3 linked regions of the Macaca fascicularis genome follow. The protein of the gene in region 2 purifies or fractionates together with the protein of the main gene of each other region. This does not show direct contact. Links are inferred from orthologs where the notes say so. Each region holds a gene or a part of one and is shown on either strand. Other genes may lie near its edges.

Evidence for each region.
Region 1: the proteins of CDC25C (region 2) and CDC37 purify together in Homo sapiens (affinity purification with mass spectrometry; 3 studies listed by BioGRID and IntAct, with this or other methods). This does not show direct contact. The link is inferred for Macaca fascicularis from reciprocal best matches to the Homo sapiens genes CDC25C and CDC37.
Region 3: the proteins of CDC25C (region 2) and SUFU purify together in Homo sapiens (affinity purification with mass spectrometry; 4 studies listed by BioGRID and IntAct, counting the BioPlex papers as one, with this or other methods). This does not show direct contact. The link is inferred for Macaca fascicularis from reciprocal best matches to the Homo sapiens genes CDC25C and SUFU.

What each region holds. Positions count from the first base shown.
Region 1 is NC_088393.1:10,958,330-10,961,972, reverse strand, and holds part of CDC37 (hsp90 co-chaperone Cdc37), read left to right. Parts: intron 1-859; coding exon 860-1,135; intron 1,136-1,366; coding exon 1,367-1,628; intron 1,629-1,720; coding exon 1,721-1,836; intron 1,837-1,920; coding exon 1,921-2,043; intron 2,044-2,978; coding exon 2,979-3,161; intron 3,162-3,261; coding exon 3,262-3,333; intron 3,334-3,643. UniProt on the Homo sapiens protein: Co-chaperone that binds to numerous kinases and promotes their interaction with the Hsp90 complex, resulting in stabilization and promotion of their activity. Inhibits HSP90AA1 ATPase activity.
Region 2 is NC_088380.1:144,825,054-144,828,696, forward strand, and holds part of CDC25C (M-phase inducer phosphatase 3), read right to left. Parts: intron 3,307-3,643; coding exon 3,261-3,306; intron 499-3,260; coding exon 465-498; intron 424-464; exon of another isoform or gene 355-423; coding exon 265-354; intron 1-264. UniProt on the Homo sapiens protein: Functions as a dosage-dependent inducer in mitotic control. Tyrosine protein phosphatase required for progression of the cell cycle. When phosphorylated, highly effective in activating G2 cells into prophase.
Region 3 is NC_088383.1:111,512,358-111,516,638, reverse strand, and holds the start of SUFU (suppressor of fused homolog), read right to left. Parts: upstream 2,931-4,281; 5' UTR 2,740-2,930; coding exon 2,558-2,739; intron 1-2,557. Other genes in the region: ACTR1A (alpha-centractin), read left to right, coding at 4,254-4,281. UniProt on the Homo sapiens protein: Negative regulator in the hedgehog/smoothened signaling pathway. Down-regulates GLI1-mediated transactivation of target genes. Down-regulates GLI2-mediated transactivation of target genes. Part of a corepressor complex that acts on DNA-bound GLI1.

The sequences.
Region 1 (3,643 bases), on a different chromosome or scaffold from region 2:
GGGAATTCCAGACGGGGGCAGCGGGAGGTTGCCATCAATAGGAAGGTGGTTAGGGAAGGGGTCCTCGCTAAGGCAACATGGAGCCCAGATGGTGCGGGTGCCATAGAGTCAGCTGTGGGGGGATCTGAGGGAAAATCATTCCAAGTAGTTGGAACAGCCAGTGTGAAGGCCTTGAAGTTCAAGAAAAAAGCAGGCTCTGCAGAGCAGAGTGGCTCCTGCCTGTGGTCCCAGCACTTTGGGAGGCCAAGGCGGAAGAGTCGCTTGAACCCAGGACTTCAAGACCCGTCTGGGCAACATGGCGAAACCCCATCTTTACTGCAAATACAAAAATTAGCTGGGCGTGGTGGTGCACACCTGTAGTCCCAGCTACTCGGGAGGCGAGGTGGGAGGATTGCCTGAGCCCAGGGAGGTCGAGGCTTCAGTAAGTCGTCATTGGGCCACTGCACTCTGACCTGGGCGACAGAGTGAGACCCTGTTTTTTTGTTTTTTTTCTAAAAGAAAAAAAAATGGTCTCAAGAAAAGGTGAGAAAAGTGAGGGGCCAGTGTGGCTGGAAGGAAGAGTTAGCAGGGGAGGTGCTGGGGCAGATTGTGTAGGGCCTACGTAGGCTGTGGTGACAACCTGGACTCTGCTCTGAGTGAGATGGGAGCCGCCAGGGTTCTGAGCGGAGGACGGAGGGACCGGACCCCACTTGGGTGTGCGTCGGCACCTGTGGGGGCAGGGGCGGAAGCTGGGAGACCAGGGCACGGGAGGTGGAGGCATACTTTTTCCCGGGGCCATCTCTGGTGCGGGGATTGGGTATGGGGCTGGGGGTAAGGGACAGGCCGCTCCCCAAAGTTGATAGGCCGCCCCTGCCCGCAGGCCCGGGTGGAGCGCATGGAGCAGTTCCAGAAGGAGAAGGAGGAACTGGACAGGGGCTGCCGCGAGTGCAAGCGCAAGGTGGCCGAATGCCAGAGGAAGCTGAAGGAGCTGGAGGTGGCTGAGGGCGGCAAGGCAGAGCTGGAGCGGCTGCAGGCCGAGGCACAGCAGCTGCGCAAAGAGGAGCGGAGCTGGGAGCAGAAGCTGGAAGAGATGCGCAAGAAGGAGAAGAGCATGCCCTGGAACGTGGACACGCTCAGCAAAGACGGCTTCAGCAAGGTGTGCGGGGCGGGCGGGGCGGGCAGTGCACTTGCGCAGCCAGCGAGTATGCAGCCAGGACGCATGCGCACCCAATGCCTGGTCAGGGGAGGACCGCGGCGGTGTAGTTGAAGAGTGTGGTGTGGGGCAGAGAGCTGAGGGACGGACGGGGGCCACGTGGGAGGGGGGACAGGCTTGGAGGGCCGGGCGGATGAAACACCCCACCGGTCCCCTCCTCTGATCTGCCCCAAGGCCCATGCCCACGCTCCCGCCACCTTGATGCTCATGGCTTCGTCACCACCTCCGCCGTGGATGGGATGGGCGCTGCGGCCACGGCCCGCCCGGCCGCACTCGAGGCGCTCCGCAGCCTTGCCCCAGCCCACTCCCCCTCTCACCCTACCACAGAGCATGGTCAACACCAAGCCCGAGAAGACAGAGGAGGACTCAGAGGAGGTGAGGGAGCAGAAACACAAGACTTTCGTGGAAAAGTACGAGAAACAGATCAAGCACTTTGGTGAGTGGGGCGTGTGAGGTTATGGGGGGCAAGGTCGGGGCAGGCCCTTTGCCTCCAGGGCCCTCCAGCACCTTGCCAGCATCTTCCCACAGGCATGCTCCGCCGCTGGGATGACAGCCAAAAGTACCTGTCAGACAATGTCCACCTGGTGTGCGAGGAGACGGCCAATTACCTGGTCATCTGGTGCATTGACCTAGAGGTGGAGGAGGTGAGTGGAGCTTTCCCCAGGGCTGTGAAAAGGTGCTGCCCTGAGGCCGCCACTTGGTAACACTGTGCCTGTTCTCCCTGGCAGAAATGTGCACTCATGGAGCAGGTGGCCCACCAGACAATCGTCATGCAGTTTATCCTGGAGCTGGCCAAGAGCCTGAAGGTGGACCCCCGGGCCTGCTTCCGGCAGTTCTTCACTAAGATTAAGGTAGGGTCCCCTGAGCTGCCAGGTGGCTGGAGGCCCCCTCCCCAGGGAACCAGCCCACAGCGCTCTGGGTAAGGCCGACTCCTGTCCACTGGGACTCAAGCCCCTCCAATCACCGAATCCTAGATCAGGAGAGGGCGGGGCCAAGGAGGGGGAGAGAAGTGGGCGGATGCTGCCAGACTTTAAAAGTGGAGGTCAGGCCAGGCTTGGTGACTGAGTCCTATAGTCCAAGTCTTTGGGAGGCTGAAGCAGGAGGACCACTTGAGCTCAGGAATTTGTGAGCTGTGGTGTTCCACTGCACTCCAGCCTGGGTGACAGAGCAAAACTGCATTACAAAAAAAAATGGGAGCACTAGGATGTGCTGGAGGTCCCCATGTGGATATGTGGGTAAAGGACAGAGGTGAGGGTGCCTCTAGGGCTCTGGGCTTTTTTTTGTTTTTGAGACCCAGTCTTGCTATCACCAAGGCTGGAGTGCAATGGCGTGATCTCAGCTCACTACAACCCCTGCCTCCTGGGTTCAAGCAACTCTCATGCCTCAGCCTCCCAAGTAGCTGGCATTACAGGCGCCTGCCAGCCTCTCGGGTTTTTAACTTGCGCACCTGGAGGAACAGGGGTACCCTTACCAAGACTGGGGAGACCAAGGACAAGGCAGGCTGGGAGGTGGCCGTGTTGAGTTAGAGGTGCCCATGCAGGGACACTGAGGACACGAGTGTCTCGGATCTGCAGTAGAGCAGGGCTCCCAAGGAGGTGGTCTTTAGCAAATGCCAGATGAGGTCCCTGGCAGGGGAGCCCAGGCCTTGGGAAGCCCTTTATGTAAGTCAGGAACAGACTTAGGGAGCCCTGGGGCACCTCTGAGGAGCTGTGGCTGGAGGGTCCTGGGCCCCCAGTCCCTCCTGAGCACTGGGCCAAGTCTAGTGAGCACTGCCCGACCCCCATAGACAGCCGATCGCCAGTACATGGAGGGCTTCAACGACGAGCTAGAAGCCTTCAAGGAGCGTGTGCGGGGCCGTGCCAAGCTGCGCATTGAGAAGGCCATGAAGGAGTATGAGGAGGAGGAGCGCAAGAAGCGGCTTGGCCCCGGCGGCCTGGACCCTGTCGAGGTCTACGAGTCCCTCCCTGAGGTGCGGCTCCCCAGCCCAGGCGGGCGGCAGGAGGACCCTGAGCGGGACCCCCCAGGGCACAGGGACCCAGCCCCTGACCCCAGCCCTTCTATACCCCCAGGAACTCCAGAAGTGCTTCGATGTAAAGGACGTGCAGATGCTGCAAGACGCCATCAGCAAGATGGACCCCACCGTGAGTAACCCCCACGTCCCATGCCTTTCCAGCGGGCCATGTGTCTCCCCCAGCCCTGTGTCCCAAGTCTCTGAAGCCAGTTGGTGAAAGTGCCCCTTCAAGGCTTCTCCAAGGACTAAGGGGGGTCGTGTTACCTTGGCACACACCCACATTTATTGAGCACCTACTGTGTCCCAGCATCCAGCAGATAAATGCTGAGCTTTGAGCGTATGTCCCTTGTGACTGATAGTCACTGTTAATGTGACTGAGTCCAGCCTCAGTTTCCTTATGCAAACCATATTTTCTCTCAATATCAGCTCACAAAACGTGT
Region 2 (3,643 bases):
TAATTTTTATCCTCAAAATGATCAACTGAACATGAGAAATAATGATGACCTACTGTGGAGAACTTGGAGCTGGGTGTCTGTCCTAGGGCCAAACTTTAATAAGAAAAAACAAAAACAAACAATTTTTCTCCCCTATAGTAATACAGTTTTGCTTGTCTAGCATACGAGGTATAAACAGTTCTACGTCTCACTATGATAACAACAAGTTTCTTCACTCAAAAAAATAAAACTGCCAATATATCTAGGTTTCCATTAAACACTCACATTTTCTTTATTTGCAGATAAGCTACACATTGCATCTCTCTTTCTATGGCCACGGTCCAAACCATTCGGAGTGCTACAGAGAAGCTGTGCCTAAAAAAGAGTTTGCTGAGAACGTCCCGCATCAAGTCACAGGTGCAATGGAAACCCTCTGTCTCCCACCTGAAAAGCAAACCCAAACCCAAAAAAGAGAGGCTACTCACTGGGCTACATTTCATTAGGTGCTGGTGATGATTCCTGCAGATTAAAACAAACTGCCTGTCAGGTTAGCCCCAAATACTGTTTGATTATTCTTCAGTGGATTTGGTGCATCCCAACATTTTTAAAATTTCATTCTAGGAGCCCTATTCCCAGTTGATATGTCTCTTCCAACAACAATACATAGGGTATTCTCTGTGGTAAATATGAAGACTCAAGTGATATCTTGGGGATAAGACCCTCATTTTGCCTGTATAACCATATAAATAAACATGTACCAAAGATGAACGAGTTTTATACAATTTACTAATTTTCCAGCACAGTGTATTGGGGCTAATTTTTTTTTTTTTTTTTTGAGACAGTCTGGTTCTGTCACCCAGGCTGGAGTGCAGTGGCAGGATCTCAGCTCACTGCAAGCGCCGCCTCCCAGGTTCACGCCATTCTCCTGCCTCAGCCTCCTGAGTAGCTGGGACTACAGGCGCCCGCCACCACGCCCAGCTAATTTTTTGTATTTTTAGTAGAGACGGGGTTTCACCATGTTAGCCAGGATGGTCTCAATCTCCTGACCTTGTGATCCGCCCGCCTCAGCCTCCCAAAGTGCTGGGATTACAGGCGTGAGCCACCGTGCCGGCCAGGGCTAATTTTTTAAAAAAATTTAATTTCTGGCCGGGCGGGGTGGCTCACGCCTGTAATCCCAGCACTTTGGGAGGCTGAGGCGGGCGGATCACCTGAGGTTGGGAGTTCGCGACCAGCCTGACCAACACAGAGAAACCCGTCTCTCTACTGAAAATACAAAATTAGCTGGGCGTGGTGGCGCATACCTGTAATCTCAGCTACTCGGGAGCCTGAGGCAGGAGAATCTCTTGAATCCGGGAGGGGGAGGTTGTGGTGAACCGAGATCGCACCACTGCACTCAAGCCTGGGCAACAAGAGCAAAACTCCGTCTGGAAGAAAAAAAAAAAAAAGCCCGGCGTGGGGGCTCATGCTTGTAATCCCAGCACTTTGGGAGGCCGAGGCGGGCAGATCACGAGGTCAAGAGATCGAGACAATCCTGACCAACATGGTGAAACCCCGTCTCTATTAAAAATACAAAAATTGGCGGGGCGCGGTGGCTCAAGCCTGTAATCCCAGCACTTTGGGAGGCCGAGACGGGCGGATCACGAGGTCAGGAGATCGAGACCATCCTGGCTGACACGGTGAAACCCCGTCTCTACTAAAAAATACAAAAAAACTAGCCGGGCGAGGTGGCGGGCGCCTGTAGTCCCAGCTACTCGGGAGGCTGAGGCAGGAGAATGGCATGAACCCGGGAGGCGGAGCTTGCATGAGCCAAGATCACGCCACTGCACTCCAGCCTGGGCGGCAGAGCGAGACTCTGTCTCAAAAAAAAATAAAAATAAATAAAAAAATAAAATAAAAATACAAAAATTAGCTGGGCATCGTGGCGTGTGCTTGTAGTCCCAGCTACTCGGGAGGCTGAAGTGAGAGAATCGCTTGAACCTGGGCGGCGGAGGTTGCAGTGAGCTGAGATCAGGCCACTGCACTCCATTCTGGCAACAGAGTGAGACTCCATCTCCAAAAACAAAACAAAACAAAACAAACAAAAAACATATCTATATATAAATTTCTATCCTCCCTCTGTGGATTTCATTATCTATCTGGGTTAGAGCATTTAAAGCAATTCAGGCCGGGCCAGGTGACTCCCATCTGTAATCCCAGCACTTTGGGAGGCCGAGGGGGTTGCTGATCACTTGAGGTCAGGAGTTCAAGAGCAGCCTGGCCAACATGGTGAAGCCTCATCTCTACTAAAAATACAAACATTAGCCAGGCATGGTGGTGGATGCCTGTAATCCCAGCTACTCAGGAAGCTGAGGCAGGAGAATTGCTTAAATCGCTTGAACCCAGGGAGGCAGAGGTTGCAGTGAGTCAAGATGGCGCCACTGCACTCAATCCTTGGCAACAGAGCCAGACTCCATCTCAAAAATAAAAATAAATACATAAATAAAATGCTTGGTATGTGTTAGATACACAGTTTATTTAATCCTTACAATAGCTACTTTATGACAAGTGCTATTATTATCTCCATGTTACAAATAAAAAAAATTAAGGTCTAAAGCAGAGTCACAACTGGTGAATGAAGTAGTAAGCCAGGAATCCAGACACTGATTCCAGAGCCTACACTCTGTACTTTCTTTTTTCTTTTCAACACGCAGTCTCGCTCTGTCGCCCAGGCTGGAGGGCAGTGGTGCGGTCTCTGCTCACTGCAACCTCCGCCTCCCGGGCTCAAGCAATTCTCCTACCTCAACCTCCCAAGTAGCTGCGATTACAGGCATGTGCCACCCCACCCGGCTAATTTTTGTATTTTTAATAGAGACGGGGTTTCTGCATGATGGGCAGGCTGGTCTTGAACTCCTGACCTCATCTGATCCGCCTGCCTTGGCCTACCAAAGTGCTGGGATTACTACAGATGTAAGCCACCGCGCCTGGCCACTCTGTACTTTGAATTACTAAGATACAGCACTTTTCACATTCAAATAAAAGCCTATATAAGTGTAGTATACCATTTTCCTTCATTTCCTTATAGATACTTCTGATTATGACAGTTAAAATGAATAGCCTTCATTTTCACAACACTATTTAGATCTGGAAACCTTAGAAACTGTTCAAGGTAAGGAACTAGGCCTCAAAGCCCACTTATACCCAATATGAAAGGTTTTGCACTCTGCAGAGTCCGCACAGGATAAAATCTCTATGACCAGTGCTAAAAAGCTTTTGCATGGGGTTCATTTAGCAACAGAACTTACATCCCAGCTAAATGCACTTCCTGAAGTCCTGAAGAATCCAGGTGACCTGCAATCAAATATAAAAAATCAGTAAAAGGAGTTATTTTTGTCCATGCATCTTGTTTTTCCTTCAGATTTTCTTCATTACCAGTAAGCCATATTAATTTCAAGGACTGAGCTTTTGAATACAAAGCCTCTCGATTGATACCCATTTCATAGTACAAGGTACAATTTCACAGAAACTTAAGGTTTTATGTGTCACTAAAAGAAGTAGTGCTGGGAAACACTGTACTTTGCTACCTACGGAGTTTTTTTTTTTTTTTTTTATGAGTAGAAAAGAAAGATTATCACTCAGAAAATCTGAAATTAGAATTCTGGAAGGTTAACTTATGAAACATTCCTTT
Region 3 (4,281 bases), on a different chromosome or scaffold from region 2:
GTAGTCCCCACTACTCAGGGATCACTAGCCACAGAGCCACCCTGCTATTGCAAAATGAATCCCAAGCTACCCTGGGCCACAGACAGACCCAGACAGTCTGGGTCAGTCATCCTGCTAGAAACCTCGTGGGATCCCAAATGTGAGGAATATAAATGAATTTCAGGATCTTATTTTTGCAAACCCCTCCGCATCTTAGAAAGTACCAGTCATTGACGGCTGGGCGCACTGACTCATGCCTGTAATCCCAGCACTTTGGGAGGCCGAGGTGGGTGGATCACTCAAGGTCAGGAGTTTGAGACCAGCCTGGCCAATATGGTGAAACCCTGCCTGTACTAAAAATACAAAAATTAGCTGGGCATGGTGGTGTGCGCCTGTAATACCAGCTACTTGGGAGGCTGAGGCATGAGAATCGCTTGAAACCAGGAGACAGAGGTTGCAGTGAGCCAAGATCATGCTACTGCATTCCAGCCTGGGTGACAGAACAAAACTCTGTCTCAAACAAAAAAGAGAAAGTACCAGTCACTGTGCTGTTTCTCTTTATATTTTTCTGCATCTAGGCAAGGCTTTCACAAAGTGCTGTACAATCCCTTTTCTTCATTATCACATGTTGGCCCATCTCTGAAGATACGGCTGTTAACAAGCTTGCAGCAGGAAGGGAAAAAAAAATTGCCCTTAGTCCTTTGCAAACACTATCATACCTTTAACATGCAATTCTATCCTTTATGGCTACTTGTGTGACATAAAAATAGTTGCCTGAATCTATGTAGGGATTTCTCCTCACACTCAAATGAGGCCTGAACAAACAGCATGGCAGAGCCAGGCCCACTTCCTTTTTTGTTTTTCAAATAACAGAGACAAGGTCTGGCTATGTTGCCTAAACTGCTCTCGAACTCCTGGCCTCAAAGGATCCTCAAGGCCTCCCAAAGTGGTGGGAATATAGGCATGAGCCACCGTGCCCAGCCCAGGCCTACCTTTCTCATGACACATGACAACAAGTTCATCACAACAAATAGTTAAATATAAAGGCACAATGAGAATGGGTCATTAAGCTAGCAAGAGCTGCTTTCCACTCAGAAGCACTCTTCAACAACTCCTCTCAACCAGAGAACTGTTTGCCAGCCAGAGAGGACTGTGACACCAGTTCTACCTCCTCCTGGCTACTCCAACAGAGGAGGCTGTTCCCTACAACCCTTCCTAGACAGCAGGTGGCTGGTCCCCAGGCCCTCCACGCTGTTGGCCTCTTGGCATCCTCCCGTTGACACAGGCAGCTGGCCTCAGCCCTGCACAGCCTACTGAAATCCATGTCCAGGGGAAGTAACAGGTTTTCACCAAGAGGGAGACTCAGTTCTAAAAGGAGAGGTAACCAGCAAAGATGTCCACTTGCCCCTTCAGGTCTACCCTTTGGCTACACCCCAAGCAGCTGCCGAACATCTTTCAGGACTCACTGAAGATCATCTAACACAATGCCTGCATGAATGTAGTCCTGGACAGTTTCAACCAGTATCTGTTTTTGGTCCAGCAAGACCATGAGGACAGGTTCTTTTCCAGAGTCCCCAGAACATCTGTTTTGCCCAAATGCTGCAGGAAGAAACAGGTTGCAAACAGGAACGGGAAATTAGAAAAGACCATTCCTACCCTAAAGCTACTTGAGGGTTACTCTCAGCTCCCCGGAGAAACTGCAGGCCATGGTCAAGAAGCTCCTCTTTATGTCCCACTTCACAATTCCTCCCTGCTGGAGTCCCAGGGTCTCCATCATTTATTTCCAAATGGAGGTGGGAAGCTGTGGTCCCTTTCAATCCTAAACCAAACCATGGTTCTCTCTACCTAATGTCCTAAAGCAAAGCCGCTGCAGAGCTAGGAGGAAGCTCTGCACGGAGAAAGAGAACAGTGCAGAGTAAGCAAGAAGTTTATCAGGAAGAGCTGCTCCGTCAAACTTCAAAAGCAAAAGCTTTACCCTGATACGACGTCTGAGTTCATCGGGAAGGTATCAAAAGGAGACCTCCTCCTCATCTCTCCACAAGCACCAGGCCCTCATCTTTGGCCCTCCTACCTCCAACAGGAGAGCCCCGGGCCCCCCGAACCGCCCCCCGCCCGCCATCCTATGCAGTCTCTTGCCCTCTGAGCTTCTCCGGCCTCGCTCCTCCAAAACCCTCTCAAATGCTCCCCAGGCTCCGCCTCGCCTCTCCCATCCCACTTCTGCCGCCCCCGCTTGGCTTCCCCTCGCCCACTAATGACCCCCTACAGGCGCCCCCTCTTTTCACCACGTTTACAGTTCCCTCGCTCATGCCGTTCCCCTCTCTGCTCCTACACACACCCCTAGTCCTCACTCTATTCTCCTAAACCCGGTTAACCCTTCACTACCCACAGGCTCCGTTAACCCCTTTGTCCCCATTCCCAACTTGAGCCTTAACTCCTTCCCTCGCAGCAGGAAGCCCTCCTTCCAAGTGCTTTAACCGTTCTCTACCCCTCCTCCCAGCCTCCCACAAATTACTTCGCCCTCGGCGCTTTAACCCTTCCCAGCCCGCGCCTGTCCGTCTCCCCGCGGCCCAGAGCATACCAGTACTTGACGATAGCGGTAACCTGGAGCGGGTTCGGCTGGTCAGGGTAAAGGCGGCGGCACTCTCCGTAGATGGCGTGCAGTCCCGGGGGAAAGAGCGAAGCGAAGGCTGGAGGGGCAGTCGGGCCAGGGGCCGGGGGTGCGGTGGGGCCGGGGGCGCCGCTAGGCCGCAGCTCCGCCATCGGGGCGCGTAGGGCAGGCCCTGGGAGAACTGGAGAGGGCAAACGAGGGGGAGAGCACTGACGGGCCAGCGGGCGGACTCGGTGGGTGAGACTCCCCGAGGCGATGGGGGCTGCAGCGAGGTCCAGCTCCGCGCCTGCGCACGGCGCACTGTCCGCCCAGGCTGTCGCCGCCGCGGAGTCTGCCAGAGGGTGCCTCGGGGCGGCGGGGCGCTCAGGAAGGCGGGGCGCCGGCGCGCCCTATCCAAGCACCCATTGGCTAGTGTCTGTGCTAGTCACAGGCAGAGACGGCGTGACTTGACAATAGGCCCCTCCCCCCCCCGTGTTGGGAGTGTCCCAAGGCTCTTGGTCTCCCCCTAGTGTTAGGAGGAACCCAAGTTTAGAGATGCTGAGCACCCTCTGAGGTGCTAGGGTCCCACGAAAGCACCAAGAAGTGCGCCAACAAAGGATTTGTTACTGTTTTGCTGACGCGCTGCTAACTAGGATTTAAACATAAATCTGACAATGGATTGATTCATTAATCCATGGGGCGTTAATATTAATAGATTATAATAAATCTAATATTTTCTAGGGCTATTGACAAAAAGGTTCCTGCAATTTGAAGGGGGCTGGGGAAGAACATAATCCAAAGAAAAAAATGCACTGGGCTCATTTGAAAGCAGTGACACATAACCTCTCTTCACCTCCACTTTCTCAACCGTCAATGCCAATTCTAGCTCCTCATGAAAATTAAAGAGATACTACAGCAGTTCCTGAAACCCTTAGATGATGTTTTAATGACCAAAAGATTACCTATAACAGTAGTTCCAATTGCCAATCCTCGGATCAATGTTAGCCTGTTATAAAGTTTACACCTATGCAGAAAAAAAGAAAACCCAAAAAGCAACAACAATGTACAGGTTTTTTCCTTAAAGCTAATTTTATGCAATTTAAATTGTTTTCCTATGTTGTAGGAATATGTCCTGTCGCGTACGTGTGTTAACATTTCCTTTTCGTTAGAGTGTGAGGTGCTAGGAGATGTTTATTAGTCTTATAGACCCAAATAAAAGCATGAGAACCTTATATTGTCTAAGGGAACGTTGTGGGGAGTGGCAGGACTGATCTGCAAAATCCAAACATCCATGAATTACGACCAATCCAAACCGAACTACAGACAAGTACTCAAGAAGACTATACACCTCAGTATGCACTGCGAACTCCTTCAAAGGGACTACAGATCCAGGCATGCAACATGACCATCAACCTGTGTCTCTGGCTGTTTAATCTAGGGAGACCACAAATCCCAGGGTACTGTGCATCGGAAATACGACTCCCAGTCTTAAATTAGGCGGGCAACAAAGCAACCTAGAGCGCTAACCCAGGCGCAAAGCATGCTGGGGATTGTAGTTTTTCAGAGGTGAGGTAGGGCAGCTCCCTCGCCTCCCTGAGCCGGCGGCTAGACTGCGCATGCGTGTCAGTGGCGCTAGCGGCGGACCCGGCTAGGCAGTTCCTTCCCCAGAAGGAGAGATTCCTCTGCCATGGAGTCCTACGATGTGATCGCCAACC